Struthio camelus: one gene and its partners. The protein of the gene in region 1 binds, or shares a complex with, the protein of each later gene. Links are inferred from orthologs where the notes say so. Each region holds a gene or a part of one and is shown in the gene's direction. Other genes may lie near its edges. The genes, in order: KANSL1, KANSL3, KANSL2 and PHF20.

Region 1 (7,821 bases):
ACACGGGGACGGGAACATGGGGTGACCACGTGTGCCCAACACGGGGACAGGAACATGGGGCAACCATGTGTGCCCAACACGGGAGTGGGAGCATGAGGTGACCACGTGTGCCCAACACGGGGACGGGAACATGGGGCGACCACGTGTGCCCAACACGGGAGTGGGAGCATGAGGTGACCACGTGTGCCCAACACGGGGACGGGAACATGGGGCGACCACGTGTGCCCAACACGGGAGTGGGAGCATGAGGTGACCATGTGTGCCCAGCACGAGGATGGGAACATGGGGCGGCCATGGCATGTCCCACACGGGACGGGAGGGCGGCGGGTTGGCGGTTCCGCGGTGGTTGGGCCGTGGAAGGTTCCAGCGCACCCACCGCCGCCCGGCCCGGCGGCCATGTCAACCAGCCCGGCCCGGCTCGCCCTGGGGCGAGGGCAGCGCCGGCCAAGGCCGCGTCCGGCCGCCGTCACCGCCACCGCCGCCGCTCCTCTGGGCGCTCCCGCTGGGCGGAGACGGGCCGCATCCCGCTGTCTCGCCCGAGGGCACCGCCGCGAGGCAGGTAACCCAGGGCCGCGGCCTCCTCGTGGGGCGTCCCCACGGCGAGGGAGACCGCAGCGATCCCCCCCCCCGAAACACCCACGCCGGGGGGGGGGGTGACACACGCGCTCCAGGGGGGTGACGAACCTCCGCCGGCGCTGCGGCCCTCAGCTTTGTTTTGGGGGAGAAAACACCGCTTTTCGACGGCCCTTCCTCGCCGGCAGCGCTGCGCAGAGCCCGGCTTCCTCGCCACAGGGGTGTCCGCGGCCCGATGGCCAACACCGCGCGCCAGCTGCCCTTCCCGGGGCCGGGGAGGTAGAGGAGGGCGAAAAGGGGCCGCTCCGCGTCAGAAGTCTGTGAACTTTCATTTAAACGCAGAGGAGTTTCGCCAGGAAATTCAGCAGGGCCGGAAGTCCACGCCACGTGCCCGCGGGTCCTTCGAAGGCCATCAGGAGGGCGCTTGCCTTCAGAGCAAGCTGGGCGAGGCGGACGTACTTTCTGTCACCGATTCGGGAGCCGGGTACCTCCCGTCACGGAGGGTAGGACAAACCCGGCCCGGGGCGCCGGGTCGGGACGTTTCCCCCCACCGGAGGAGCTGTCTTGCGCCAGAGAACAACCTCCACCGCCGGAGGAGATTTGGTTGCACGGTATCCAGTCCTCTGCATAGACCCGCGCGCGAGCGGCTCAGCCGCGTTTTTCTGAAGACGGCGCCCAAGACGGACGAGCTGAGTTGTCGCAGGAGGGTAACGCTTTTAGCCCACGTCGTCGAAAAAAAAAAAAAGCTGACGAGTTATTTTCAGCCATTTGCACAAACATAGCCCCCCGGAGGAGCATCTCCTTCGGCTGGTTACCGCTGTGGGCACCGGGGGGTCCCCCCAGCAGGGTTTCCTGGAAGGAGGGGTTGCAAATCTGCTGAAATCCAGCTTCAGCTCCGCTGCTGATGTATATTATTAGACACGCTTAGAAAAGTTAGAAGCCAATCTTGAAGAAACAGGAGCATGGCCAGCATCTAAATGGTCTTACTTGAAGTTTCCTCTGAAACTCAACTGTCATTTTGGTCCTTAAAACTTAAAATACCTGTTCAACAGCAAAAGACTACCTGCATTTAGTAACGAATGCATGGTAATCCTCTGACACAGAAGGCGATCTGCTTCCACACACTAGATGAGTTACAAACGTTCAGCGAATCCCATGCAAAGCCTCTGGTTTTAACAGTGTCTCTCCATCAGCACCATCAGGTGGCTGGAACTACCTGGACTTTGGGGAGGTGAAGGGAAGCTCGAGATTAAAATGGATCCGGAGGTGTCCATCACAGCTCTGCTGCTTGCCCACAGAGCTAGAACTGAGACGTTCTTCCTTTGAAATATCCAGCAGAACTCACTCTTTCTCAGACATTTGAGGTATTTTACGATGGCTTGTCCTGGGGAGGAGCCATGGCATTAAGAACCGTTACTGTTGACTCTGCTGTTAACACATTTGGAGCAACTTAAATGTCCTCTCTGCCTCGGTTTCCCCAAATGGAAATACTAATTCTTGTCGCATGGAAGGATCATAGAGTCAACTGACTAGTTTCTGGACACCTTGGAAATCTAGAGTGCTAAACTATGTTACTCTCATTGCTTTAAGCTCCCAATACAAGGCATCATATACTAATTTGGCAATTAGTGCACAAAGAATACCAAAGACTGCAGGACCTCACTGCTGCCTGTCTGAAACAAGTGCAGTTCCTTTTTTATATTTGTATTCTGGTATTTCTCATATGCAAAAATGTTGGCTTCTCTCTCCTAACAACTTGCTTGAGACATAATGATCCCTTAGAAGCTGCAAGCATTTCAGCTATTCTCTCTTTAGGACACGACTAAAACATCTCAGGATTGCTGCTTTAGGAAACTCCAGACCATCGGTTAAGCTCAAAGGAGCTTATCTTGTCCCAGACCTGCTGGACATGGATTCTTGCCTTTATTTGAATTAAAACCAGCTCATGAAATGGATAAAAACTAAACTGAAAAAAAAAAACCTAGTGGCAGCAACTGGATAAATTGCGCCACGGCATCAATTATGTCTACTCAAGTGGGAAGGCAGAATAAGAAGAAATCAGGGGAAGGCTTTACCTTGTCTGGGAGAAAAGATGTGACGTTGTAAGATGCACGATCACGGTAGAGTTCACCAGACAGGTTGCAGCGTTTGGGCAAGTTAGTGGGTCATGATAAACTCCAGGGAGCAGCTTTGGGGTTACTTTAGTCTGCTACAGTACTGAAACTCCAACTTAATTCACTCGACAGCCAAGGCGCACCGTTTCCTGAGCACAGATGTGGCCAAAGACAGAGAGCTACCCACAGAGCAGCGAGTGCTCTCCTCGTGTTAGCTGATCTCTTCTTGGTCTGGATCTGCTGCAGGCTTGCACCTTTCCACTTTGGCCAAGCAGGACTGCTTGGGACAGTCTCCAGTTTTCAGATGAAGATCTGAACCACTTGTTGAAGGAGAACAAAGTGCAGGAAGGAGTTTCAAAACCATTTTAGCTGAGGTCAGAGAACGACGTACAGAAGGTGTTGGCAGCACGTCGAAGCCGAGCAACTCGTCCCAGCGTAAAGATCCCGTGTGAAGATGACAGCAGACAGATGACAGTCCCCTGGGTGCCTCTCCCTGCACCTCCCACCCTGGGACCCTCTGCTTAGCGCGTGCGTGCAGCTCAGCTCCACCAGCAATCCAGGGAGCTAACACTCCCTACAAATGCTAGAAATGGCTATTTCCGGCCCTCCTGCAGCCCAAACGCTCGCCAGCAGCCTCCCAGGCTGCCTCATTTTGTGCGCTTCTGTCGTGCCTTCTCCCAGCGCTTCCTCTTCGCCCCCTTGTCCCCATCTCGCGCGCTCAGCTCTTCCGCTGCTGCTGCTTAACCCTCCCCATGTCCCTCCCTGGCTGGCTGCGTGTCCTGCGTCATCTGTGGGACAGAAGCCTACGGGACCTGGGGGATGGGAGCCTGGTGTCACCCATGGGACGTGACTGTCTTGTCACCAGTGGGACATGAGCCCCATGTCACCTGCGGGACATGACTGTCCTAGTACCAGTGGGACATGAGGCCTGTGTTACCTGTGGGACATGAGCCCCATGTCACCTGTGGGACATGAGGCCTGAGTCACTCATGGGACACGACTGTCCTGTCACCAGCGGGACATGAGGCCTGTGTCACCAGTGGGACATGACTGTCCTGTCACCCATGGGACACAAGCCCCATGTCACCAGTGGGACATGAGGCCTGTGTCACCTGTGGGACATGACTGTCCTGTCACCAGTGGGACATGAGCCCTGTGTCACCAGTGGGACATGAGCCTTGAGTCACCTGTGGGACGCGACTGTCCTGTCACCAGTGGGACATGAGCCCTGAGTCACCTGTGGGACACGACTGTCCTGTCACCAGTGGGACATGAGCCCCATGTCACCTGCAGGGCATGACCATCCTGTCACTCATGGGACACAAGCCCTATGTCACCAGTGGGACATGAGGCCTGTGTCACCTGTGGGGCACGAGCCCTGTGTCACCCGCGGGACATGAGGCCTGTGTGACTTGGGGGACACGACTGTCCTGTCACCAGTGGGACACGAGGCCCGTGTCACCCGTGGGACCCGACTGTCCGGTCCCCAGCGGGACACGAGGCCCCGGCGGCACCCGTGCCCCCTCGCCGGCCCTGAGGCGAGGCCGCCGCGGCCCACCCCCCGCCAGGCCCGGCCTGTCCCCCGCAGGGCGGCCCCAGCGCCGGCGCCTCCCTCGCCGGGCCCGTGGCGGCGGCGGGACCGGCCCCGTGAGGCCCGGCCCGGCCCGGCTCGCCCGCCGCAGCCCGCGCCTCGGCCGGGCCCTGCCCGGGGCAGCCGCTGCCGGCCCGTGTCACAGCAGAGCCCGCCGGGGACAGGCCCGGGCGGCGGCCACAGGCTCCGCCGCCGCCCGCCTCGGGCCCGGCCGGGCCGCGGGGCAGCCCCGGGGGGCGCCGGCTGCGGCCCCCCCCCCCCCCCAACCCCGGCGGCGGCCGATGCCGAGAGCAACAGGGTGGCCCGCACCGCCCGCCGCCGCCGCGGGCTGCCGCCGGGGCCGCCCCGCAGTGTGTGTGTGTGTGTGGGGGGGGGGGCGGCCCGGTGCCCCTCACCCCCCCCCCCGGCTCCAGCCTCTCCGGGAAACACAAGCGAGAGGCAGGAACGAGCCGAGCACCGGCATCAATCACCGCCCGCCCCGCCCCCCCGGCGCTGACTGACGGGGCGCCGGCCAACCAGGCGGGCCCATGCCCCGCGCGCAGCCAATGGGAGGGGAGGAGGGCGGAAGGTCCCCACTTCAAGGCTGGTTGAGCTGTGCAGGTAGGTGCTGGGATGTGGGAGCCGCCGGGGCCGGTGCCCCCCCCCTCCCCCCCCCCTCCCGGTGGGGGCGGCCCGGGGCCACCCGCCGTGGGTGGGTGGGGGGGGGAGACCCCCGCCACGCTGCTGGCGGAGGGGACCCGCCGCTGCTCCCCGCGCTGCTGCCCACGGGCAGCGCCAGGCCAAGTAGTGCGGCCCCCTTCCCTTCCCCCCCCCCCACTCCGCCGCCGCCGTCCCGCAACTCGTTTGCGGGGGGGGGGGGGGGGCGCGGGCCGGTGCGCGGCGGCGGCCGGAGCCGAGACGCCAGGCCGAGGCGGGGGAGGGGGCGGCTCGCGCGGCCGCCGAGTGAGTTGGGAGCCGGGGCACGCCGGGGGGGGGGGGGGGCCGGCCCGAGGGCCCGGGCGGGCGCGGGGCGCCGGGGCGAGCTCCGCCGCGCTCCGCCCCGCCGTCGTCCCGCGGCCGCCGCGGCGGGGCCGGCTGCGTGCGGGGCGGGGGAGCGCAACACCCCCCCCCCCCCCGAGCCTCCATTTTAGCCCAACGGTTTCCGAAGGAAACCGAAGCCCCGGAGGATCCCGGGGCGGGGGGGGGGGGCTTCTAGAAGGATCTGGGAGCTCAGCCCGTTCCTCGGGGTGGGGGGGGCAGCCCCCCCCCCCCCCTCCCGCGCCGCCGTCCGGTGGGACGCGGCTGCCGGGGACCGGCGGCGGGTGGCCCGGCCCGGCGCTGCCCTCGGGGGCGCGGCCGCCGCCGCCCCGGCCCCGCACGTCGAGCAGGCGGCGGCACGACGCCGCGAAGGGAAGCAAGTCGGTGTGCTGTCTGTTGGCCGTCTCTCCGTTTGCTCCCTCTAATTACGTTTTGTTCCCCCCCCCCCCAACCCCTTCTTACAGATCCTGGATTTTCCACTTCTTCAAATAAATAAATAAAGAACTCGCAGACCTACCAGGAATTCGTCGAGGCTGGAAGGATTCAAAGTCCCTCCCCGCGCTGCTGGGTGTCCCTGCTGAACTACCGTCGGTGAGGATGGATTTTACCAAGATGTCCAGCGAGGTAAGAGCTCCCGTTCTTTGCTCTTCCATTGTAAGCTAGAATCTTAGACTTTCGCCCACTGCAAAACTACCAGAGTTTGAGATGCTGAGTTGTATTCACAGGCTTTATTTTAGTTTCTGATTTTACGAGAAGAGTCCGGTCCTCCGCGCTAATTTCCTGGCAAATGTTTAACTTTAACATGGAGGTTCAGGAATACGGCTGAAAAGGTGGCTTCGTTCCATATACGCAGAGCGTTTCTCTCAAAAACGGTTCTAATGCCCGTATGTAGCGAGGAGATGTGCAGCCTCCTCTTGGCAGTATACGTATGTATTTCCTGGTATTACCTGTCCTCATGTACTACATCTGGATGTAGAAGTGTGACTTGCCATGAAAAAGAATGATCTCTTCTGTTTGTTCCCTTACTATGTGCATCCTTAAAACAGAGGTTTACAGCTATCAGATTCCTTTTGCTTGCTGACATGGTCTGGCTTCTATGTGTATTTCTAATTTCAAGAGACTTCTGTGTATACCTTTTAGTGTGGCCTAATAGACTTGGCTTTGTCCCATGAAAACTGAAGTTCTCTCGGATGGGCAAATCTGCTCACCTTCCCAAACCTCTGGGTTTCCCATGTGTGAAGTGGCCATAGTGCTACTGTATCTGGGAAGGATGGTTGTGAGGATTTGCTGGTGCTTGTTTTGAGAAGTCATGTGTTATCCTGATAATGTCATTACAGTAAAAGAGCTGTGTCCTAAGCAGTTGGGTATAATAATCAAGTTAGTGAATCTGAATACAAGCTGAAATGAAACATAGAAGGGAAGGATAGTTCCCTTTTTTCATGGATCTACAAGCCAAAGCAGCCTGACTTCAGTCCGATTATGGAGGACTGAATTTAGACAAATTCTTTTGTAATAGGAAAACCTAAAATCTTTGCTCAATCCTTTCACACTGACATTAGACAAATCTGCTCTGGTATCTGATCTCCAGTTGGCTAACACAACAGTAAAGGCTCTTATTCTGTGTATGCCTAATAACAGTAAGTTCTTGTGTGGGCTTTAAATAAGAAAATAAAGCTCCCTGTTACAGGTTTTGGAGGTTATCGCTAAATGTGAACGCTTTCTTCTCAGAAGTCTGTGTTCCTACAACTCCTCCTGAAAGTGATAGGAAGTCATCATGCCGCTTCTCTGGAGATCAGTCCCTGTTTCAAAAGCGCCAGAGATCAACGTATTGGCCAAACCTACTATAGGGCTGTATGAAGTTTGACACTTGCATGGATACTTGTGTCGCCTTAAGACGTTGTCAGTCCTATGATTTAAGTGTGCTATATGCCAACTAATGAGGGTCTACTACAGTTGAAAGTAGTGTTGCTCTGTGCAACAAAATGTTCTGATTAAAAATCTGAGTTAATTAGCCTTGTGCTTCAGTCTAGGAAGCTTGGAGGAGGGGCAGTAAAGTAAAATGTTAAAGTGCTTAAACTGCTGCAGAACTGAAGGGCAATGTCATCCTTATGTTGCTAGCTAGAAAAGCTGCTGGTGGTCTCTGTGCCGTGCAGCCTGGACCTATGCCTGGCAGCTTGAGAGAGAACCTCCTTTTTGGTTATAGGAGGGGTACTAAAGATGTCTGCTTTTTCCGACTGAGTGGATCAGCAATGGGCACACAGGAAGATAACACCAGATCCTCTCTACTGTCCTCGAGCTGGCAGGAGTTGAGAGGAGGGAGGTTTGCCTGTGACAGTGGTTTGCATATAGCTAGCCAAAGTCTGCTGGAGAACGTACCAAGGAAGATCTGCAGACAGTAGTTGTGTCAGACTTTTTCCTGTCCTCTCAGCAGTTTTGCTTAGAGGTATTGGCTTCTTGTGAAGTGGATATAGTCGGACCTTGTTTCCTGAATGTACGAGTATGTCTCCTGTTCCTATGCTGTCTAAA
Region 2 (7,969 bases), on another chromosome or scaffold:
GATGCTGGGGTGCTGCAGAGGAGATGCTGGGGGGCTGCCGTGGGGATGCTCAGGGCTGCCGCAGGGATGCTGGGGGGCTGCTGTGGGGATGCTCAGCACTACCGTGGGGATGCTGGGGGGCTGCTGCAGGGATGCTGGGGGGCTGCAGAGGAGATGCTGGGGGGCTGCCATGGGGATGCTGGGGGGGTGCCACGGGGCTGCTGGGGGGCTGCCGTGGGGATACTGGGAGGCTACTGTGGGGATGCTGGGGGGCTGCTGTGGAGATGCTGGGGGGCTGCCGTGGGGATGCTCAGGGCTGCCGCAGGGATGCTGGGGGGCTGCTGTGGGGATGCTGGGGGGCTGCTGCAGGGATGCTGGGGGGCTGCTGTGGGGATGCTGGGGGGCTGCAGAGGGGATACTGGGGGGCTGCTGTGGGGATGCTGGGGGGTTGCTGTGGGGATGCTCAGGGCTACTGCAGGGATGCTGGGGGGCTGCTGTGGGGATGCTGGGGGACTGCAGAGGGGATACTGGGGGGCTGCTGTGGGGATGCTGGGGGGTTGCTGTGGGGATGCTCAGGGCTGCCACAGGCATGCTCAGAGGCTGCTGCGGGGAGGCTGGGGAGCCAGCAGCAGCTCGCCGGGCACCCGCTTACCCGCTGAGCAGAGCCAGGCGGATCTCGTCGCAGACGTAGGGGAGCTGGGGGGCAGGAGGGAGAAAGGCTGAGGCAGGGGCGCCGGCGGGCAGGCTCTTTGCGTGGGCGCTCTCGAAGCCTCGCAGCCCACGGCCCCGGGTTTTGCAGCCCGGCTGGCGCGTCTCACCCGGAGCGGGAAGAAGAGCACCTCGTTCCACTCGGGATTGGCGTTGGGCGGCACGGCCCGGGTGCGGAGCTGCGGCACGGCGAGCCGTGAGCCGCCGGCCTGGAGCATCGCCGCAGCCCGCCCGCAGCCCTCACGCCTACCGTCCTGCCGGCAAAGCTGATTTCCATGGCAAGGAAATTCCTCCTGCCGGTGGGCAGCGCGGATGGGAAATGTTGCCAAGCCGAATCCTCTACACCGGGAAAGGAGAGAGGCGGGGATGAGGCCGTGCCGGAGGAGCAGCCCGCGGCACCCGTCCCCGCGCTCGCCGGCGCTCACCCTGGGGCACGTCCTCGGCCCGGTAGACGCGGAGCTGCAGGGCTGCCACGCAGGCGGGGAGCGAGGAGGGCTGCAGGAGGTTGGCCTCCACGTCCTCGCTCTCGGCTGGCTTCGCCTGGTCCTGGCGGAGAAGAGATGGGGTGGATGGCGGCGGCGGCGGCGAAGCTCAGCGCCCGCCCGAGCGGGGCTGGCTGCAGGGACGCTCACCGGCGCGGGGTCCCCGGCGCGCAGCACGCTCAGGCTGACTCGCAGGTAGCCTCGGAGGCCGGCGTCGAGGCGGTCGGGGTGGTGGAGGCCGAGCCACTTCCAGGCGAGCGTCCGACCTGCCGGAGGCAGATGCTGAGCAGCTGCACCGAGGGGACCCCGTCCGCTGCCGCCACCGCCGTGATGCCCACCTACCGGGTGAGCTGTAGACGCTGCCGACGTCCAGCTGCGCGCCGGTGCGGGTGAGAAGGTGAGACGGCGGCCCTTTCCTCCGGCGCGCCCCGTCCGTCCCCACCCCGTCGCCCCTCACCTTGAAGACGCCGATGACGGACTCGGCGCGGACCGCCTGGGAGTTGAGCACCTGCGGGACCGGCCGCCCCGCGCTCCGGCATCGGCTGCGGCCCCGCCGGGGCCACCCGCGCCCGCCGCCGCGTCCTACCTGGATGTGGATGGGCTGCTCCAAGAGGCCGGCGAGCGTCTCGCGGAAATTCTGGCAAAACACCTGGGGAGAAAGGGGCCGGCAGCCGCAATCACCGCCGCTCACTCCCCGGCGCCGCTTCCCGCCGTCTCCCCGCCCTGTTTCCCGCCCACCTCGTCGTAGTAGGGGTTGTTCCCGCTCCTGATCCTCGTCCGGAACACGTGCTCGCCGATGAACACCTTCACCACCGGCTTGATGTTGTTCCCGCGCAGCTGGCGCCCTTCGATGATCCGCACTCGCACCTGGAGCGGGGACGCGATGGGTGCTGCGACCGCCCGGCCGGGAAAAAACTGCCGCAGTCTCCCCGCCGGTGCTCGGCGTTACCTGGAAATCCTGTTTCCTTCCCGACGCTTCCCTCCCGGGGCTCGGCCAGGGGGTCCCGCGCGGCACCTCTAGGCACAGCAAAAGGGGACGGCGCATTGTCGTCCCCGCGGCCAAATCGAGCGCCGGGGCGGGAGGAGGCGTCCTCACCTGCGGCAGCTCTGCTGGGCGCCCGCGGCGTCTCGTGCCCGGCGGGGACGTAGGAGCAGCTAAGGGTGACGGTGCACTGCGAAGCAACGTGCCCGTGAGCACCGCCGGGTGCCGCCGGGACGAGGAGGAGGAAGGTGCTGGGCGCTCACCCCCGTGGGCCGGCGGTTCCGGTCGAGCAGCGGCACGTTGCGCAGGGCGAGCGGGCGGCTCGGCTCCGCCACCAGCTGCCCCAGCGGCACCGTGGCGGCACCCAGGTCCCTGCGGGGCGACGGGCGGTGAGCGCGGCGGCAGCCCCGGCAAGGGTCCCCGTCTGCCACCACTCACCCGTTGGTGGCTGGGCGGCCCCACTGCCGCAGGCACAGCGCCACGACGGCGGAGGGCTCCAGCGGCCGGGCGCCCAGCGGCCACACCAGCGTCTGCGGGGACACGCGGGGCGTTGGGGCTCGGCTCCTGCCGGCCACCGCAGGAAAGTGATTTGCCACCATGGGAAAGCAATGCCACCACCACAGGAAAGTCATGCCACCACCGCAGGAAAGTGATGCCACCACCGTGGGAAAGCGATGCCGCCACCATGGGAAAGTGATTTGCCACCATGGGAAAGCAATGCCACCACCACGGGAAAGTGGTGCCACCACGGGAAAGCCACCACCATGGGCAAGTGATGCCACCACCATGGGAAAGTGATTTGCCACCATGGGAAAGCAATGCCACCACTGCAAGAAAGTGATTTGCCACTGCAGGAAAATGATGCCACCACCACGGGAAAGTGATGCCACCACCACGGGAAAGTGATGCCACCATCATGGGAAAGTGATGCTGATGCCACCGCTGCAGCCACGTGGCCTCACCTCGTTCCACGCTGTGTCGCGCTCGCCTGGCACCACTCGGGTGCTCCTGGGGACGCCTGGGGACAGGGAGGAGGTTGGGTGCGTGCCGGGTGGGTGCTGCCCGGAGGCGTCCCCCGTCCCGTCCCCCGTCCCAGCTGCTGGGGTACCTCTGAACTCGGCGCGCACGTGCACGTCGGCGATGGGCGCCCGCGGCGCGGGGATGCGAGCGCTGGCCACCACCAGGCGCAGCATGTCGGCGCAGGGAGCTGGGTGCTGGGCCGGGGCGCAGGGTGCCGAGCCGGGGTGCGAGGTGCCGGCGGCGCGTTCCAGAACGCCGGGTCACAGTGGGGGGACGGACGGTGCCCCAGGGTCCCTGTGCCAAGCACAGGCTGCCCCGGGCCTGCTGCTGCTGCTGCTGCTGTCTCAGGTCGTGGCGTGCCCCCCAGCACCCCATGGCACCCCAGGGCACCCCAGGGCACCTGCAGCACCTTGTGGCACCCTGTGGCACCCCACAGCATCTGCAGCACCCCACGGCACCCCATGGCAGCCCAGGACACCTGCAGCACCTTGTGGCACCCTATGGCACCCCACAGCATCTGCAGCAGCCCACAGCACTCCATGGCACCCCATGGCACCCCACAGCACCCCACAGCACTTGCAGCACCTCACGGCACCCCACGGCACCCCATGGCACCCTGCAGCACCCCACGGCACCCCATGGCACTCTGTGGCACCCCATGGCACCCTGTAGCACCCCGCAAGGCATCCGCAGCACCCTATGGCACCCACAGCACCTTGTGGCATCCCACAGCACCCCATGGTGCCCTCAGCACCCTGCAGCACCCCATGGCACCCCCCCTGCCCTCTCTGACACCCCCCAGCACCCTATGGCACCCTGCAGCACCCCATGGCACCCCCTGCACTCTGTGACCCCCCCCAGCACCCCATGACACCCCAAAGCACCCCATGGCACCCTGCAGCACCCGCAGCACTGTGTCTGCCTGCACTCGCGGGGGCTGGTGCCACCGTGTCACTGTGCCAGGCCGTACCCGTGGGTGCCCCGTGTCCCCACGTGTGTGCTGGCGTCCCGTGAGGGTGCGTACCCATGCCCCTGGGTCCTTGTGTCCCCACGGGGCTGTGTCCCCACGTCACTCTGTCTTGGTGTCTCAATGTCCCCTTGGGGGGGGAGGGTGTCCCCGTGTCCCCGTGTCCCCTGTATGTGTGTGTACCCATGTCACTGTGACCCCGTGCCCGTGTGTCCCCATGTCGCTGTGTCCCCGAGCTGCTGTGTCCTTGTGTCACTGTGTCCCTGTGTCGCCATGTCTGTATGTCCCCATGTCCGTATGTCCCCATATCGCTGTGTCCCTGAGCTGCTGTGTCCTCATGCCACTGTGTCCTCGTGCCACTGTGTCCCCATGTCTGCGTGTCCCTGTGCCTCTATGTCCCCGTGTCTCTGTGTCCCCATATCCTCATAGCCCTGTGTACCCCCGTGTCCCCATATCCCCGTGTCCGTGTGTCGCTGTGTCCCCATGTCCGTGTGTCCCCGTGTCTCTATTCCCCCGTGTCCCCGTGTCCCCATGTCGCTGTGTCCCCCTGTGTCCCCATGTCCCCCTGTGTCCCCCTGTGTCCCCATGTCCCCCTGTGTCCCCGTGCCCCCGCGCACCGGGCCTCTCCCTCACACTCCGCTCCGCCTGCATCCGCTCTCCGCGCTTTGACCGCGCCCCGCCGCCCTCCGCTCCGCTCCGCTCCGCCCGGCCTCAAACTCCGCTCCGCACTTTCCAGTGCGCGCTCCAGCCGGCCCCGGGCGGGCGGCGCATGCGCGTTGCGGCGCGGCGGCCCCGGCCCAGGCCCCAGCGGCAGGCGCGGCCCCCGGCCCGGCCCTGGCGCGGGATGCGGCGCGGGCGGCGGCGGCGGCGGCGCTAGCGGCCATGTCGCAGCGCGGCGGCGGCGAGCGGGACCTGCAGTGGTCGGCGCGCAGGATGGGGACGTCGCTGCTGCTGCAGCTGTCGGTGCACGAGCGGGAGCTGGACCTGGTGTGCCTGGACCACAGCTACGCCAAGCCCTGGAGCGCCCACCCCGACGCCAGCGCCGCCCGCCCCACCCGCATGCTCTTCGTCACGCCGCGGCGCCAGCCCGACAGCGCCCTGTGAGCGCCGGGGCCGGAGCGGGGGGGCGTGGGGGTGTCTGGGGGGCTGTGGGGGGGAGTGGGGGGCCTCTAGGGCGCTGTAGGGGGGAGTGGGGGGTGTCGGGGGGGAGGGGGGGCTGTAGGGGGGCTGGGGGGGGCTCCTGGCGGGCTCGGGGGGAGTGGGAGTGTCTAGGCGGCTGCTAGGGGGGGAGTGGGGGTCTCTAGAGGGCCTCTGGGGGGGAGTGGGGGTGTCTGGGGGGCTTCTGGAGGGGAGTGGGGGGTGTCTGGGATCTCCTGGGGGGCTGTAGGGGGGCTGGGGGGGCTCCTGGGGAGCTGGGGGGGAGTGGGGTGTCTAGGGGGCTCCTGGGGGGCGGCTGAGGGGGAGTGAGGGGTGTCTGGGGGGGCTGTTAGGGGGGAGTGAGGGGCGTCTAGGGGCCTGTATTGGGGCTGTAAGGGGGGAGTGGGGGGTGTCTAGGGGGCTGTATGGGGGAATAGGGGGTGTCTGGGGGGCTGTATTGGGGCTGTTGGGGGGAGTGGGAGGTGCCTGGGGGGCTCCTGGGGGCTGTAAGGGGGAGTAGGAGGTGCCTGGGGGGCTCCTGGGGGATAGTGGGGAGTGGGGGGTCCCTAGGGGACTCCTGGGGGCTACGGGGCCTGTAGGAGGGAGTAGGAGCCTCTAAGGGGCTGTAGGGGGGAGTGGAGGGTCTCTAGGGGGCTTCTGGGGGGGCTGTAGAGCAGAGTGGGGGGGTCTCGGGTACTCCTAGGGGGCTGGGGGGGCTGTAGTGGGGAGTGTGGAGTCTCTGGGGGGCTGGAGGGGGCTGTAGTGGGGAGTAAGGGGTCTCTGGAGGACTACTGTGGGGCTGAGGAGGCTATTTTGGGGAGTGGGTGGTCTCTAGGGGGGTGCTATGGGGCTGGATGGTCTGTAGCGAGGAGTGGGGGGTCTCTGGGGGGCAGTGGGGGCCTGCTGTGGGGCTAGGGAGGCTGTAGTGGGGAGTGGGGGGTGTCTGGGGGGCTATAGTGGGGAGTGGAGGATCTCTAGGGGGCAGTGGGGGTCTCCTAGAGGGTCGGGGGGGCTGTTGGGGGCAGTGGGGGGCTCCTGGGTGGTCTGTAGTGGGGAGTGGGGGGGTCTCTAGGGGGCAGTGGGGGGCTCCTGTGGGGCTAGGTGGTCTGGAGTGGGGAGTGGGGGGACTCTGGGGGGCAGCTGGGGGGTGTGCGTGCTGTGGGGCTGGACTTGGGTGCTGTGGGGGGACTGGAGCTGCGCGGTTTGGACAGACCTGAGGTTACGGCTGTGTTTGGAGTTGCAATCAGCCTGAAGATGTGGGGTGAGGTATGGGGGTGCGCTCAGGGTCGCAGCATGGGGCTTGAGGGGTCATGGCAGGATTCGGGGGGGGTCAAGGCTCAAGCGTTTGGTTTTGGGCTTGTGAATGGGCTTGAGGCTGGAGCTCAGGGATTTGGTGCCCGGCTTGGGATGTCTTTGGGATCAGGGCTCATTCGCGTCTTCAGTGTTTTTCTCCTTTGCTTTTGGGCCATGATCTCTGGGTCCTTTGCTAGGAAGTAGCTTCTCCCTGTCCTGTGTCACGGCCCAGGTGCTGGCCGCGAAACTCGCTTTCTTAAACATTAGTTGCTCAGCAGCTCTTCTGGCAGGAGAAGACCAGGCTTAGCAGGGTCCTCTAAGGCACGTTCATTTGTAGAGCTTAAAACAGGAAAAAAAGACTGCCTAGTCTCAGACCAGAAATGATAAGATACCTGCTTATGAAGCCTAGTGGCTAAAGTGATTAAAAACATCTGCCAGAAGCTATAGGTACTTTATTAAATATTAAGCCTAAGATGCTTCGGTGGTTTATATTCACACCATCTAAACAACTGTCCGAACAGCATTCGGTCTTGCAGCCTGAGTCAGGATTTATGGGAAAGAGTTGGACCCAAGGTCCCAGTTGGTTACAAATTCTTCTTGATTTTTATAGTGTAGCATGTCCCCACGGTGTGCTCTCCAAATGCAAGATCTCATTACAAAGAGTGCAATTCCACAGTAGTCCACTTAGTCGCAGCATCTTTGGAGAGAGATGTGGGAATACGGACAAAATAAGTTCACGGGTGTCTCGTGCGTACCTGGGGCAGGTAGACACAGATCCCTGAGGCATCAGGCGCGCTCTCTGATCCGCTCAGGTTTTTTCCAGGTTACATCCCGTTTTCTAAAGTGAAATTTTCCTCACAGCGAAGCAGATATCCCCATCGATGTCGAAACAGTGACGCCCACGCCTGTGCCGCTCTACGACAACCAGAAAGCCCGCAGTGTGATGAACGAGTGTGAGCGCCATGTGATGTTTGCGCGCACGGATGCTGATGCTCCTCCTCCGCCAGATGACTGGGAGGAACACGTGAACAGGTAACGCGGGGCGCCAGGGTTGCAGAGGAAAGAAATTGTGATCCTAAGTAACTATCCATGCAGTAGCTGTGGCAGTTGTGCTTCGGGGACTCATCTTGCTGGTTACATTGCAGCACGTATTAGTATATAAAGCCGCAGCCAGCCAGAGGATGGTGTAGTGCCAGATGCTGTGTGAAATGCAGTTGGGGCCATAAATATTTTAGAAAAAAAGCAGAAATGGAGAGGAAAATCGTGGTACGGAGCAGTGAGGTGACTCTTCTGTGTCTGCAGCCGGTGAATGAGGGCTAGGGAGGACGAGTCGGCGTGCTGAATCCGGTCCAATGCAGCGCGTGCTTGACTACGCTCGCTTTGCGTTCTCTGTGTTCACTG
Region 3 (7,290 bases), on another chromosome or scaffold:
TACAAATAATTTAAGCAGTAACTTATATCTTAGTGTTTTTGTTCATTTTAATTTTGTAATGCTGGCAGGTGCTGCAGGGGACCCTCGTGAAGGGCTCAGGCTGCGTCTCGTTGGTCAGGAGGCTCCGTTCGAGCTGTTGGCGATGGAAAGTGGCTCAGGAGCTTTTCGGGGATGGAGCAGAGGAAGTGGTGCGAGGAGAGGGCAGGAGCTGGAGGCAGCTCGGCCGGGGCAGCGGAGGGAATCCCAGCTGCTGCCGACTCGGGGTAATTCGGAGTTGCTCTGCCTGCTGTTGTTTCAGTTTCCTCATCTGCAAAAGCGGCTCTCGTTTAGGCTGTCTCTCCCTCTCTGAGCGAAGGGGGAGGATCCGGTATCTTCCTCTGTCCCTCAGCTCTTCCCCTCCTGCTGAACGAGAGACTGCCTGGCAGGTCACGTTGCTTCTGCTGAAAAATCCCCCCTGAAAGGTGGCGGTTCATGGGAGAAAGGTGCATGTTGGAGGTTGTGGCTTCTGGGGTGATGGTGAAGGAGAGTCTCGCCAGCCTCACCTTGCGTGTTACCTGCTTAGCAGAAGGGCCAGGAGTCAGCATGGCGCGGTGAGACCTCGCTCACCTCCTGGTGGTGCGGAGCTGATGCGGGAGAGGGAAGCAGGGGTGCGAACGGGGAGAGCTGTGAACGGGGTGCGTTTAAGTCATGTTACGGATCGCGATTCTTAACATTGGCTATGGAAAGGGCTGCGGAAACGTTGGGGTGTTGGTGGTGGTGTTTCGTGGCAGCTGGTGCGATGTGAACATCCAGGGCGAGGTGGTTGGTGACTGCGGGCTTGGCTGAGGGCCTGTCTGTCACCTCAGGTGGCGGTTTTGGGGAGAGGGTCCGGAGGAGCTGCCCACGTGTGGCTGGCCTGGCCCAGCACTGCTCGGCTTCTGAGGCGAGGGGCCTCGTATGCGGAGTGGGCTTGTGCCCAAGGGGTGCCCGGCTGGGTTGACGGAGAGCTGCATTGGAGCTGGCTAGAATGATACCTTGGCAGAATATCAGCTTAACGTGAAATCTAGGAGTCCATTTGCAGGGTGCCACTGGCAGCTGTGCAGGAAGGGTGTGGAGCTGGCTGGACCACAGCCTGGGAAATGGTGTTTCGAGCATGTAAGCCACGTAGAGCCTAGTCTGGGTATAAACGTGAAATACGTTGACAGATGTGGTCTGTAGTTGCACAGGGCTTAATCTGAGAGGAGCTGCATCGCGGGTCTCGCAGTTGGGAAATACGATGAAAATGGGCAAGGCGGGCAGCTTCTGAGCGACTGCAGATCCTCCTCGGCTCTGGGCCCGGTGTCAGGCACAAGATCCTGCTGGCTGGACAGGGAATCCTGTGTGCACTTTGCTGTTCGCAACCCTTATCTCTCCAAGTTGGAAACCTAGCTTTTACTGCTACCTAAATCCTGGAACAGGGAATCCAGCTGGAGGTGGGAAGTTTCAGTCTAACGTTTTGGAAAAGCCGACTTATTTTCTTCTCGGACTATACTTTTCCAAACTTCAATAAACGTACTGTCTCCTTATGTTTTTGTGAAACTCTGTTCTACATCCAGTTCCTCTTATTTTAAAGAGCAATCAGTAATGCTAACCCTTGCCAGTGCCAGCTTGCTGGAGCTGGTCAACCACCAGGGTAACCTCTTAGGTACAGAGTTTATGTTTGAAGCTCCCAGCAGAGATTTGTCTCTTGCTTACCTGGGTGCTTTGAGAGCCTGCGCGGCATGGTTTGTCAGGCGTTGCGGCGAATCGTGCTGCCCTTTCCCTTATTCAGTAGGGGAGCAATTCCAGCTGCAGCCTTCTCTGCAGGGAGGTATCGAGTGTAACGCGCTAGTGAGTCTCTGCGCGTGTCCTGGAAAACTTGAGCATCTTCAAGACGAGCTACACGTCTGGTTCTTGTTGCTGCAAAAGCCTTAACTGCAGGGTCACTGCCACACTGGCTGGAGACATCTGCCACAAGCGAAGGCGTCTCCTGGGCAGGTCTTAAGCGTTTAGTGCCCATTCAGGCCTACGCGTGGAGGCGAGACGGGTGCCCTGCACCTCTGTCTCGCAGGCGGTACCAGCAGAAGCAATCCTCTTCTGAGTGATTTCTGCGTCCTTTTGTTTAAGGCTGCGCTTGTGGTTTGTGTGGCTGTGAGCTGGTGTTGTGTTTGGGCGCGTGAGATGGGGGATGCGCGAAGGCCCTCAGCGTGGCCGGGGGCTTTACCTCCAGGGTGGATTCAGGTGATAGGACAGAGGAGGTTATTGGACGCGAGTTTGGGCTGTCTCTGGGTTTCCTGCTGCCGTGCTTCAGGCTATATTCTTGAACGCGAAGAAGCTTTTCCTGGGCACCCCCAAAGTGCGTCCCTCTTCCTTGCCGGAAAGAGCCTGGGGCGTTTGTCGTGTACCGGCAGAGAACACCTGGCCGCAGACCTAAATTTTCTTTTTCTATCTAAAGCTGTTTCTGATTTGTACCTGCCACCTCCCCATGGGGGGGCTTGAGGGGTAACACGAGCCTCCCCTCATGCTTTCCTCTTCCCTGCTCGGGCGAGCGCTGGGAGCGAGAGCCGAAGCCAGGGTAAGGAAGGTGCTTTTGAGTATTATTCTTAAAACATTTATAAATATTTAAACTTCGGGAAACTTTTTAAAAACCAGATAGACGTGTGCTACCTGCTCTAGCCCGTAACCGGTGTTAGAGCTTTCCCTCCTGCAGGGGAAGGGGCAAAGGCAGGGGAGCTCCCGGGGGAAAGGGGGGGGGGGGCGGCGGCCGAGCCGGTGCCCCGCGGCCACCGGGAGCTTTTTGCCTTCCCGGAGCCAAAATGCGAAACCTGCTTCCGTCTCTCCTCTCTCACTCAGGGCTGCCGGGTGCTCGCAACCCCGCTTCCCCCGCGGCGGGGCCGCGGCTGCGTTGCCTCCGCTCACCGGCTGCAGCGGCCGCCGGTAAGGGCGCCCGGTAAGGACACTCCCCCCCCCCCCCTTCCCCGGGCACGGCGCCGGTGCTCGGTCGCTCGCGGGCACTGTCTCTCGCTGTGTATTTATCCACATCAATAAAAGTGAACGGCAAAGGAGGCAGCCGAGCTGCAGCGCTGTGTCCCGAGCTCTTCCTTGGCGGCGGCGGCGGCGGCCCCGCGCCCACGTGTCGGTTCCCACCGCGCCCCCCCTCCACGTGACCGCCCAGGGGGGAGGAGGCGTGGCCGGCCGCTGAGCGGAGGGACGGCTCGCTCGGCCAACGGCGTGCGGCGCCGCCCCTGCGGCCGCCGCGGATTGGCGGCGGGGCGAGCCAGTGAGGCGGCGGGAGGGGCGGGCGGGCGCGCGCGGCGCAGACGGCGGCCAGGCTGGGGCGCGAGCGAGGTAAGATGGCGGCGGCGCCGCCGCCGCCCGCCCCGAGCAGAGCCCGCCGGCCCCGCCGCCTGCCCGCTCCCCCGGTGGCTTCTTCCCCACCCGTCCCGGCCGCGGGCACCGATCCCCCGCCCCGTCCTCCGCGTCGACGCCGCCACCTGGGCCCCTTCGGCAGCCCCCCTCACGCCCGCCGCCCGCGGACAAAATGGCGGCGCCGGGGCAGCCGGGCGGCGCGAGGGCGCATGCGCGGGCCCGGCGCGAGGCGGGTGGCGGAGCACGTGCGCGGGGAGGAGGCGGCGGTGCACCGGGGGGGGGGGTCTGCACGGGGGTGCACTAGGGGGGTGCACTAGGGGGGTGCACCGGGGAGGAGGCGGCTCTGCACGGGGGTGCCCCGAGGGGTGCACCGGGGAGGAGGCGGCCGTGCACGGGGTGCCCCGAGGGGTGCACCGGGGAGGAGGCGGCCGTGCAGGGGGTGCACTAGGGGGGTGCACCGGGAGGTGCATCGGGGATGAGGCGGCCGTGTACGGGGTGCCCCGAGGGGGTGCACCGGGAGGAGGGGTGATCTGCATGGGGTGCACCGAGGAGTGTACCGGGGGGGGCCATCTGCATGGGGGTGCACCGGGGAGGAGGTGGCCGTGCACGAGGTGCACCGGTAGGGGGGGGATCTCCGGGAGGGTGCACCGGGAGTGGAGGGGAGTCTGCACGGGAATGCACCAAGGTGTGCCCCGGGGGTGTACCGGGATTGGGGGGATCTGTACGAGGGTGCACTGAGGGGTGCTCCGGGGAGGAGGCGACCGTGCACGGGTTGCACCGGGAGAGGGTAGGATCCATACGGGGTGCCCCGAGGGGTGCACCGGGAGAGGGGGAGAACATGCACGGGGGGGTGCCTGAGGAGGAGGTGGTGGCCGTGCAGGGGGGGCACACCAGGAGGAAGGGGGACCTGCACGGGGGTGCACTGGGAGAAGGGAATCATGCATGGAGGTGCCCCGGGAGTAGGGGGGGCCAGCACTTAGGGGTGCGCTGGGACGAAAGCATCCTATACTGGGGCTTAGCTGGTGACCTGTGAATTGGGAGCATGGGGTGCTGCACTGAGGGAGTGCAAAGGTGGGGGTGAGGATTGGGCACTCGAGAAGGAGGTGTATATGGGAGGGTGTTTGAGGGGTGGGGGGTCCTGCACAGGGAGGAAGGTGCCTGGTATCGAGGGACTGGAGGGAATGGTTCTGTATCGGGTGGCAGATCCTGCACTGGGAGGAAGGGGTTGCATATTGGGATGGTGGGGTTGGAGCGGTTGCCCGCTGGGGCGTGGAGGGTTTGTGCAGAGAGGGAAGGGGGTCTGGAAAACGTACCCCTGGCCACGCTGCTGGCAGGTGGCAACGCTTGGAAGCTCAGGTACCTAAGTGAAGCATGTTTCCTCTGCCGCCGAATTGGGGTTACTGTGAAGTCGAGTTTCCCATGAAACTATGTCTGTAGGAACAGTTTCTCGTCCCAGGAGGACAAAGAGTTTTATTCAGAAGTTGGCAGGTATTAGCAGAGACTGCTCTTTCTTTTTATCAGTCGTTTGCTTAATTTCTTTTAATTGGAGCTGTATCTCTCTAGCAGGTGTTGGCATGAACAGAATTCGGATCCATGTTTTGCCGTCAAGTCGAGGACGCCTTACTCCTGTGCCGCGGCCCCAGGAACCTCTGTCATGTGCCTTTACTCACCGCCAGTGTTCGCAGCCACGGCTGGAAGGGCAGGAGTTTTGTATTAAGCATATTCTGGAAGACAGGACTGCTCCTTTCAAGCAGTGCAGCTACGTTTCAACAAAGAACGGAAAGCGGTGTCCAAACGCTGCGCCCAAACCAGAGAAAAAGGATGGGTAAGCATTTCCATTTCCCAGTCCTTTGCTCTGTACTGTATAGAGTTAAAAGAGGCAGAAGCAAGAGTACCATGGGGTGAAGGCATAGGTCTCTGCAGGTCCTTTTCCTTATTCTGCTGCTGCGCTTATGTTAACCTCAGACAAGTGATTTTCCATTTTTGAAGCATTGTTAATCCAGCAGAAAGACTGTGAGCACTGAGAGCTCTGCATGGAGTCTTTTTGGTCCTGCAGGACTATCAGGCTGCTGCCCTCTGTCATCAGAAGGTGGCTGTGCTGTTTCAGGAGCCAGGGTGCTTGGTGGGAGCTGCGGTTGCATCCGCATGGTGCTGCACCTGAGCTAACCCTGGCAAACTCGAGTTGTCTGTGTCTGTGCTTAGGGTTAATCCTCAACACAGATACTCTGGTCATGTATTACAGATCCTCTGGTCATGTATTATTTGGAGTTGATGACCTGGTTGTGCTTGTTGTTCCTTGATGCGTGTAAAATGTTCCAGCTGTTACAGATGAAAAGGCCTAGAATAATTATTGACACCCAGTAAACACGTCAGCAGAATGCAGTTATTGGAGCGTCGGCCTTTATTTACTTCCCAGAGGTCACTGAAATTTGAACGTTAGCAGTCTTGATTCTGCCCTTGGTGCCTCTGCGATAAAAAGGATGCATCTAATGTGGGCCAACGTGCTCTGCACGAAAACTTTAAAGTCCAGCGTGAATGTTTGGAAGCAGTTTACCTCTGCGGCTTGAAGTAAAAAGCCCTTTTCTCTCCCTGCTGCTGTGCCATGTGGCTGCCGGCTTCAGTGCCAGAGGTGGCGTTTTATGGTGGTGTGTGGTCTGCGAACCACTTGGGGCTCTCTGGCATTTCTGAACGATACCGGCAGCCGGTGATAGATGGTTACGTTTTGCTCACGAAGGGTAGCTGTGGAGTGGGGTATGCCTTCCAAATGGCAGGGAGCGTTTCTCACTGTATCGCTTGTTCGTTTTGCTGGCTGACTGAGAGCTTGGAGTCGTAACGTGTTTTTGATTTATTTGCTCAGTGTGTCGTTCTGCGCGGAACATGCCCGTAGGAATACTCTGGCACTCCAAGCTCAGATGAAAAAGTCCAATCCTGGACCTGTAAGCGAGACTCTCCTTTGCCAGCTTAGCTCTTACGCCAAAACAGAGCTGGGCTCCCAGACTGCAGAGAGTAGCCGCAGTGAAGCCAGTCGAATCCTAGGTAAGAATTTAACGTGAAAACCGGTGAGAGAGAACCAGGAGTTCTCTTTTTTGTTTGGAAACGCCAAGAACGTTGCTTATTAAATCCAGTGGTAGAAAAGGGATCCTGGGGTCTGTGGCAAAAGATCGTGTCCCACACCCCTGTGTGTTTTGCCTACCAGTGACTGCAGATAAGTCACATTATAGGTATGTCCCATCACCAGGCCAAAATCTTGTGGGTTCTCTTCGGTAGACGTGTCTGGAAGCTCCCCTCATTGCTTGTTTAGTCTCTTGCTGTGCCTGTCAAACACTGCTGTTAGATGTGTCTGTTCCCTACAGCTCGGTGGTGAGCTTCCCATCTTGCAGGGTCACTCGGTGGGGAGCCGGCAGGCGGTTCGTGGTTCTTAAGTAGGCAAGAATGTTACTCCACAGGAGCTGTATATTTTGGCTGCACATAATTAATTGGTGGGTTTCCTGTTGTACCATATTGCTCGCTCACGTTGTGTTGGGGAGAAGTTTCTCTTGGAGGAGAGACAGAGCTGGCTCACCTCCGTACTTGCCGTGGAACAGCCTCCCCCGGGGTCCCTGGCTGCCCTGTGCTGGAGTAACAAGCCCTGGGAAGCAGGGCAGGGTCCTGCCTCTCACGGAGACTTGTCTTTGCAGATGACGACAGTTGGAGCGACGGCGAGCAGGACCCTATCACAGTGGACCAGACGTGGCGAGGGGACCCGGACAGCGAGGCTGACAGCATTGATAGCGACCAGGAGGATCCCTTGAAGTAAGTTGGGTGGTGGTGGCGGCTCCTAGCTGGTTACGCGTGTCCTGCAGAACGCCCTGAACTCCGGGTGATACCAGGGTGGATGGCGGTTATGTTAAAGCGATGACGTTATTAATGATGTTGCAGTTGGAC
Region 4 (8,001 bases), on another chromosome or scaffold:
CCCCATCCTGCCTTGTGCAAAATCTGGTGCTTTCTGAACTCAGCCCTTACCCTGTTCAGATCACAGGCAACAGCAGCAACCAGGTCTCCGCCAAGGGTCACAGGGGGGTTGTGGAGGGCAGGGATGGGGAGAAGAAGCAGGCCCTCTCTCTTTTTTGCATTACCTGTTTACTCTTAGGGCAGGACAAATACACAGAAGAGCACAGGACAGCCAGACCACGTTGCTCCAGGGACCGCAGAGGGGCAGATGGCCCCAAGAGGAGGAGGAGGAGGAGATGAAGGGGGGGGCTACAGCTCACCCCCTCCATGGATCAGCACAGCGCATGACCAGGTGTGTTGACGCAGAAGTGCCCATGTGTTTGCATGTCTCCCCCACACCGCTCCATGGATGCGGCTGTGCCTGCCCTGCCTGAGGACACAGGTTGAGGGTGGATTTCCTTCCCTGGAGATATGCAGTGGGTTCCCAGCCTCTCTAGCTGCTCTGGCCAATAAAGCAGGAGCGAGAAACCAGCCTGAGCTATAAACTGCCCAGACACGGAGTGCAGCCGTGAGGCAGGGGCACTAACTTGGCAAGTCCCTCCTCCCCCACCTCTATGTGCACCTTGGGACCAGGCCCAGAGTTCAGCCAGACCTGAGGGGACCTCCAGCAACACCCTAATGAAAGCAGGTATGATCAGGGGTGAGGCACAGCGAGAAGAGCGGGACACTGGACTGGTGCATGCACCTTGGTGTAAGAGGGCAGGGACAATGCCCAGCTGAGTCTGTAAAAACTCCACTGACCTGTGCTGGTCCTCATCTAATCCCCACCCTGGGCAGACTTTCTGCAAAATCCACTTGTGGGACAGTCCCAGGTCCCCTCTGGGAGAGGGGAGCCCAGCCTGGCAGTAGATGAGCTCAGGGTTCCCGCACCCCTGGGAGCGGCAGCTTCCCTGCTGCCGATGAGCTGCTATAATACAGACAGCAGTGACCCCGCGTGGGCTGCGCAGAAGGCAGCTGGGGGCTCCCTGCCTCTCACTGGCAGAGGCCCTTGTGCAGGCAAAGATAAACCTCTACAGGCACAGAGCCACCCTCTCGCAGCTGCCGTGCCGGTCCCTTGGGTAGCTCATCAAGGAGGAAGGGAGTGTCTTTTGCATGGGATGACACCAACTGATGCAGAGGCTGGCCTTGCAGACAGCTCTGCTGGAGCTGGTTTAGCCTCCTTTTATAGTCAATGCAAGAGGCATTTTCTCAGCACAGTTCCTCTCATGCTGAAGCACAGGCAAGAGGCTGGTTGGATGTTTTGCCCTTGCCACATGCCTGATTTTCTCTGTTGAGAGATGGGGAGGCTGGCTACAAGCTCAGCTCTCCTGCAGGCGAGGGAAGTGGCAGGGCCTGGAGTGTACTTTCCACCAGTTTAGCTGCCTGTGCTCAAGGCCAGCTCTGTATGGCTGGCCATGAAGGGAAAGAGCTGGAAGAAACTTCTCTGGGATCTTCCTCTTCTTCGGGAGCCATGTCTAAGCACATGCCCTCACCCCTGGCCTCTACCTGAGCTGTGTTAGCCATGCATGTGCCTGGCCATGGACTTCACTGAGCTGGCCTCTGCCCCTGTACTGAGGACTAACTTCCTGGCTTGACCCTGGACCTGATTTGACTGATGATCTGGCCTCTTGGCTGACCCTGGACCTGCTCTTGCAGGACCCTCCTGCACAGAGGCTACACCATGCCAGGGCTGGCACTGCCCTGCCATCACCTTGGCTCCGGCTCGCCTGTCCCGGCGGAGCAGCCTGATCCTGCTGCTCCCTGACAGTAAGTCAGGGTGGGTTTATTCCACCTCTGATGTCAAATGAAAATAAAGATTGTGCGAGTGAGGACAGGATCTCTTTCCAGAGAAGACAAGCAAAGGATTATTGATCCACAAAGCTTAATTTGCCTGCAGGTATATTTAGTGATTTCTTTGATGTGTGGGGAAACATTGCATCCCAACTGACCCAGATTAGCTGAGCGGGTTCTCTTGGAGAGGGCCTGGGATCTGTCTGCGATGCAAACGAGTACTTCAGTCCGGTGTGCTGCAGCGGAAGCTCTTGCTCCGTTTGTGCTGGGCAGCGGCAGCCCCGCGGCAGACGCAGCCCTGCCCTTCGCTGCAGCGGCCGGTGCAAGGGAAGCGTTGTTTGCTGGGAAGGGCTGCCGCTCTGTGGTCAGCTCAAACAGGCAGGTACGGCCAACGTTTGAGAGCTTCCGGCAGCGTTAACCATGAATGCCGACATCAGATATTAAATCTTAAGTCTTGGACAAGCCACGAGGAAAAAAAGAGCACAAACTGGCATAGCCATTTCCATGGCTTGCCAAGAGCAGTCGGCTCTCGGGGAGGGGGGGGGGTGAAAGGGCGAAAGAGCAAGGGATTACTTCCCACAGCTCAAAAACAGTGAGATTAGAAAGACCCGCTTCTACAGAGAAGGAAGTGGTTTCTGATATATACCTTTTCATAACAGATGTTCCAAAATTCAGTGTTTTTTAAAATGATGAAAACTCCTTAATGAAATACAGTGCTCTTAAAAAACAAATACAGAAGCAGTACACTGACATTTTAGTGAGAGTTAAAAAAAAAAAAAAAAAGAAAATCTATTTCCCTCAAAACTTTGGAGTGATTTTTCTTTTTAGCTGCTTCCTATTTTAATTCATTCTGAATTGTTTTCTCCTGCCTCCAGACACCTTTAGTGTTTAAACCACACACAAGATTTCCAGGCTAAAAAAAAAAAAAAATCAAACTCATAAGCTTAATTTTCTGCCACATTTTTTTTTTCTGTGATGGTATTTATAGTAAGTCATTCTGCTTCCACAAATTCCCAGTGCACAGCTCACAAGCGCTGCTTTATTAGAGAAGCGTAAGCGGGCAGGGAGCTAAACAGTGCGGGGGGGGGGGGCGACTCTGCCTTAAACCCACCTTTGTGCGCTCTGGATCCTGCGCTGCTCAGGGCGCTGGGGTGAGGCTGATGTCATCGGAGCAGCCAGATTTTTTGCAGCATCAGCACTTTCTGTGGGTATTTGGGAGGAGGAAGACAAAGCAGAAAGGCATTTAGAGTCAGGATTGTGCTTTGCCCACTTACTCCTTTGCACCCAACCCACACTCTGGCGATACATGGCAGGGAGACAGGGCATGCCAGTACTTGACTTTTCTGGTAAACTGAAAATTAAAAAAAAAAGAAAAGCAACTCCTTTCTGATGGAAATTATTTTTTTCCAGCTTTTCTCCCTGAAATAATAATTTGTAATAGAAGTAATTATAAACATTTAATGATAGACTAAAACTTTACTAATTTAACTAATCACTTCAGAATTGTTTCTGCCCCATGATGAGCCCTTTTAATAAGGGGGGCTTGGACCCAGACGTGCCCCGCAGGCTGCTGTGTGCTGTCGGGAGGAAACAGTCGTCGCGGCTGGCTAATCTCTCCCCTGCCCTCCTCCAGAGCCGGTCAGTACCCACAGATTTCACTGCATGCTAATCCCCTTCGCTGCACATACCGTGGCCACAGCAGTTACTCTTTTTTTCCCAACAGCCGATAGGTAACAATTACGCACTTGTCTGTGCTTGGCCGCTGAGCACAAAAATGATGGATTATCTCGAGAAAATCACCTGAAGCAGAAGAGGTTATTCTCTCACAGTGACAAATACCGGAATATTTGCAGTTGAGAACTTCAGCCTGCAAAGATTTTTGCTCTTCTGTATCAGTTTGGTTTTGGCTTTAACCTAGCATAAAACTCAAATTCTTCATCTTCTTTTTTTTTTTTTCTTTCATTGGCTCTGTAAAATGCTGTATCTATGGAAGAATGCAGAGCTCCCTAGCTGTACAAAAGTGTAGCCAGCAGGTTGAGGGAAGTGGTAATTCCCCAGTACTTGGCACTGGTGAGACCTTATCTGTGTCTGGTTTCGGCCCTCCAGAGCAAGAGACGTCACCAAACAGGCCCAAGTCCAGCGGATGGCTGCTAAGATGCTCAGAGGCTGGTGGGCGTGAGGCAAGGCCAGAGGAGCTGCAGGTGTTCAGCCTGGAGAAGGCTCCGTGGGGATCTGAGAGCGGTCTCTCTGCCTCCAGGGGGCTGTAGAGAGGACGCAACCAGCCCCTCCTCGGAGGTGTGCCATGACAAGAGGCAAGGGGCACAAGCTGCAAAAAAGAAAATTCTAGTTGGACATAAAGGAAAAACTTTTCCCCGTGAGAGCAGTGGCCCTCTGGGCCAGGGGCCCAAAGAGGCAGGGGAACTGCTGCCTTGGAAATACTCAAAACTCAACTGGATAAGGCCCTGAGTAGCCTGATTCGAAGATCGCCCTTCTATGAGCCATTACATTGCTCAGATTACATCCTCCCTAAATCCTTTTCTGTTTTTATGCTTAGGCAGACAAACAGACCTCAGAGAGGTGCTGAACCAGCCATCTGAGCAGCGAAGTTCATGGTGGACCCAGACTGCCAGTCTGCTTTCATTTTTGCTCATATTTCACTGTGTTTTATGGAGCTCTGAAAAATACAAAAGTCTTTTCCTTTACACTTTCTCTGAAAGGAAGCGCTTGTGGCGCTGCCAGTTGTGCACACGAGCGGCTCCAATTATTCCTTGCAAGCCAGCGTCTGGGATCGGTCAGCAAAGGACTTCACTGCTCTCACTGTACCCCCCGAAATGCCGTGTGTTCCCGCCTGCGGACCCCTGGCAACGGGGCCCGGCACGTTCTCATGCAGCAGTATGGCTTTTTCCTGCCATTTTCCCCTACTTTAGCTGCCGGGACCGAGCTTGTGGCCCTCTTGCACACAAGAGGAGCTTGCAATGGAGAGCTGCTGAGCCAGCGCAGGGTTTCGGGCCCGCCCGTGAAGAGCTGCCCAGCAGAGGAGGGCCTCTCCTCGGGCAGGCCTCGGGGGACCACGACGCCATTCCCAGCGCCAAGCTAAATTCGACGGGGCCGCGGCGCCTCCCGCCCCGCCCACCCCGCGGCCCCGCCCCGCCGCATCCGGCCCCGCCCCTGCCGCCAGGCCCCGCCCCCTCCCTCGCGGCGGCTGGCGGCGCCGCAGCCGTGGCGGCCATTTTGTGGCGCTGCGCGGTCGGTGGCGCTGGGCTCGGCGCGCGGAGCGGGGCCCGGGCGGCGGTTTAGCTCCTTTCTAACCCCTTTTTCCCGTACAGATCCCTCGGTAAGAGAGCGGCAGCGCCCGGGCGGGCCGGGCCGGGGCCGGCTGGGCCAGCGCCGCCTGCCCCGCGCTGCGGGCCCTGCGGCGGGGCGAGGCGAGGCGAGGCGAGGCGAGGGGAGGGAGGCCGGGCGCGGAGCGGGTGGCACGCGTCCCCGCGCACAAAGGGCCGCGCCGCGTCGCGCCGGAGCGGGCGGCTCCTCCCGGGCGGCCCCGCCGCAGTCCGGGCCCGATGGCGCCCGCGGCCCCCGGGGTGGCCGGGCGGGCGGCGCTCACGCCCCCGCGCGGCGCGGCCTGGGGCGCTGAGGCCGGGGGGGCCTGGGGCGCGGGCCGAGCGCGCTCCCTCCCGGCGCCCGCGGAGCTGCGCGGCCCGGCGCGGGCAGGTGAGTATGTGCGCGCCGAGCGCAGGCGCGGCGGGGCCCGGCCGGCGGGGGCGGCCGAGTGACCTTGCAGCGGCGCCGGGGCCGGCGCGGGGCCGCGGCGGCGGCGGCGGCGGCCGGGTCTGGGCGGCGCCGCGGTGGGCCGTATCCCGCGGCGGGGCGCGGGCGCGGGCGGGGCCGCGGCGGGTGGCTGCGCGGTGTCGCCGCGGGCTGTGGTCGGCCGGTGGGCGCGGGCGCGGCGGCGGGGGCCGTTGGCGGAGGCCGGCGCTGCTGGCGCGTCAGGAAGCGGCGCGGGGCGCTCCCGGCGGGTGCTGGCGCGGCCCGGGGGGGGCGCCGGCGGCCGCTTCTCGCCGGGCCCCGGGGGACGAAGCGGGAACAACCTTGCACGGGGCAAGGTACCTGCCCTGCAAGGTGTTGATTTCTGTAGGTGGTACCGTCAGCTGGAGGTTTCTGGCCTTTTTGTGTCAGCAGAAGTGTGGAATGCATCTCCTTCCTTCTGGTTTTTCTCCTTTCAGAAAGCCTTTTAAAAAGGGAGGTAAAGACAGGTCCTTGCAATGATCCAAAAGTTACCTCGTGTCATACCTGTTTAACATACAGAATGGGGAGGTGCTGTGTTTTTTTTTTTTTTTTTTTTTTTCCCTAGGAGATCTGAATTCCACTATACTGGCTTATTGCCCCACAACTGGATTATAGGACCAGTTGGCTTGAGGTGCACATGCATAGTATAATGGTTGTAGGGCTTGGTTAATTGAAGCAGGCTGTCAGTGCAATTTTGGGAAACCTTTACATCTCCTTTACCTATTTGAAGTCTTCCCAGTGCTAGAAATGCTTCTTTGATCCCAAGCTAGTGTTTCTAATTTAAACATGTGAAAACAGATCAAAAGGGATATTTGAGTGTGGATGAGTACAAACTGGGTAAAATATATTTCTTCCCTTCTGTTAGTGTAGGTAGTTTAATAATGTATGCTGTAGTAGATGAAACCCTATTTGTTAAAATACTATACTAATAAATAACTTGAAACAACTTTTTGTAGGCATCTGTGCAGAAGGTCATAGCTAAGAAAGTATGTAACAGAAATGCTTTTGATCTAGGTTTGTTTATTTGTTTGTATCTGAGTAAGGAATGCTTCACAGGACCTATTTCCAGAAAAGTGAAGTGAGAAGAGTTACGACAAGGATCGTTCATAGTGTGATTCTCTTTTCAATTTTTGTGTGTCTTAATAGTTCTGTAGTTGAAGAAGACTTGGACTTGTTATTTGATTTAAGTTAGCTTGTGGGAGAGTTCAGTTTATGTTCTGGCTGATAACTTTGTTAGTGTTTCCTAAATGGAAATAAAATTTTACTTCATTGTTCTGAGAGTAAAATCTGTTTGCCTGCAATCCAGGGTAATTAATTAAGGTCAAGTTGGGAATGAGGCTAGAATATTAATTGCTCATAACAGTGCTGTCTTGGCTGAAACTTAAGAAGCGCATAATTAATTCTTACTTTTAATTGGGTAAGTTCTCTGAAGCCACTCTTTTGCTCTTGTACATCCTGGATCACCTAGGCAATGATATTGACCTAAATTCTCCCCCTTGTTCAGGAAAGAGTGTGATCTCTAATTTATTTGTAGGGGATGTTAAGTTTTGTGTAACTGTATCTTTGATCTGTGACTGCATCTCTGGAAACTAAATGGTGTCTGTGGTTGTAATTTGTCAGACCTTGACATAAGCTAACACTGTTATAGAAAAGCCATATTGCCACTTCTCATTTCTGCCCATATGGCACTGTCCTGTGCAGATGTGAGCACTTGGGCTACAGCATTGTGAGCTGAGCTAAAGAATGTGCATGGGGGAGGGTTTATTGTTTAGCCCTGCAAGTGGTTGCCCTTGCTCAGTATTTAAACTGTGTTCTTGATTCTTGCCTAGTTGTGTGGGTGCAGGGTTTAAAAAAAAAAAATAGTTGTAGATATTTTGGATTTACTGTTGCATTTATATTGAAAAGTTTTGTGGAGCGTTTGTAGCGGCTCTGTCAGCAGTTCTACATGTCTACTTTTCTTTTTTTACTTTGTTTTATTTTTTTTATCATTTTCATACTTTTCTTACTTGCTTGTCCACAGGGTTGTTATCTTGTGCTTCCTGTAGAAAGACTTTCTTCAGGTAAGAAATAGTGACTAAGTGCTGTCATCTGGTGCTTACTGTCAAAATGCCAGTAGTAGCATGACCTATATCTTCCAAAAAACTTCTTGGGACTGGTGGCTTTTCAGGCAGTGTTCTTGTAAAAAGCATTTTTTGGTGGATGGAAGCACCAAATTTAACTGATCACTTGTGTGTAGATGTATAGTGTGGCCGTTCTCACTGACTGCAGATGCATGTGGCAGAAAATAGTGCATGTTAGTATGTAATATTTACTGTTTTTTGAGTCTTGCTAATTTGCTGACAAGCCTTTGTCTGTTTTTTACTGGGCTTGAGTACTTCTGGCCAACCTTGCTTGAATACAGCCAGCT

Evidence for each region.
Region 2: KANSL1 (region 1) and KANSL3 share a complex: the UniProt entries of both Homo sapiens proteins name them as parts of the NSL complex. The link is inferred for Struthio camelus from reciprocal best matches to the Homo sapiens genes KANSL1 and KANSL3.
Region 3: KANSL1 (region 1) and KANSL2 share a complex: the UniProt entries of both Homo sapiens proteins name them as parts of the NSL complex. The link is inferred for Struthio camelus from reciprocal best matches to the Homo sapiens genes KANSL1 and KANSL2.
Region 4: KANSL1 (region 1) and PHF20 share a complex: the UniProt entries of both Homo sapiens proteins name them as parts of the NSL complex. The link is inferred for Struthio camelus from reciprocal best matches to the Homo sapiens genes KANSL1 and PHF20.

What each region holds. Positions count from the first base shown.
Region 1 is NC_090966.1:4,396,986-4,404,806, forward strand, and holds the start of KANSL1 (KAT8 regulatory NSL complex subunit 1), read left to right. Parts: upstream 1-4,818; 5' UTR 4,819-4,878; intron 4,879-5,643; exon of another isoform or gene 5,644-5,759; 5' UTR 5,760-5,919; intron 5,920-7,821. UniProt on the Homo sapiens protein: Non-catalytic component of the NSL histone acetyltransferase complex, a multiprotein complex that mediates histone H4 acetylation at 'Lys-5'- and 'Lys-8' (H4K5ac and H4K8ac) at transcription start sites and promotes transcription initiation.
Region 2 is NC_090968.1:1,247,942-1,255,910, reverse strand, and holds the start of KANSL3 (KAT8 regulatory NSL complex subunit 3), read left to right. Parts: upstream 1-4,969; 5' UTR 4,970-5,020; coding exon 5,021-5,238; intron 5,239-7,429; coding exon 7,430-7,600; intron 7,601-7,969. UniProt on the Homo sapiens protein: Non-catalytic component of the NSL histone acetyltransferase complex, a multiprotein complex that mediates histone H4 acetylation at 'Lys-5'- and 'Lys-8' (H4K5ac and H4K8ac) at transcription start sites and promotes transcription initiation.
Region 3 is NC_090969.1:1,056,999-1,064,288, forward strand, and holds the start of KANSL2 (KAT8 regulatory NSL complex subunit 2), read left to right. Parts: upstream 1-4,283; 5' UTR 4,284-4,475; coding exon 4,476-4,722; exon of another isoform or gene 4,723-4,793; coding exon of another isoform or gene 4,794-4,803; coding exon 4,804-4,854; intron 4,855-4,929; coding exon 4,930-5,191; intron 5,192-6,223; coding exon 6,224-6,402; intron 6,403-7,043; coding exon 7,044-7,158; intron 7,159-7,290. UniProt on the Homo sapiens protein: Non-catalytic component of the NSL histone acetyltransferase complex, a multiprotein complex that mediates histone H4 acetylation at 'Lys-5'- and 'Lys-8' (H4K5ac and H4K8ac) at transcription start sites and promotes transcription initiation.
Region 4 is NC_090959.1:1,298,331-1,306,331, reverse strand, and holds the start of PHF20 (PHD finger protein 20), read left to right. Parts: upstream 1-5,000; 5' UTR 5,001-5,142; intron 5,143-7,614; exon of another isoform or gene 7,615-7,654; intron 7,655-8,001. UniProt on the Homo sapiens protein: Methyllysine-binding protein, component of the MOF histone acetyltransferase protein complex.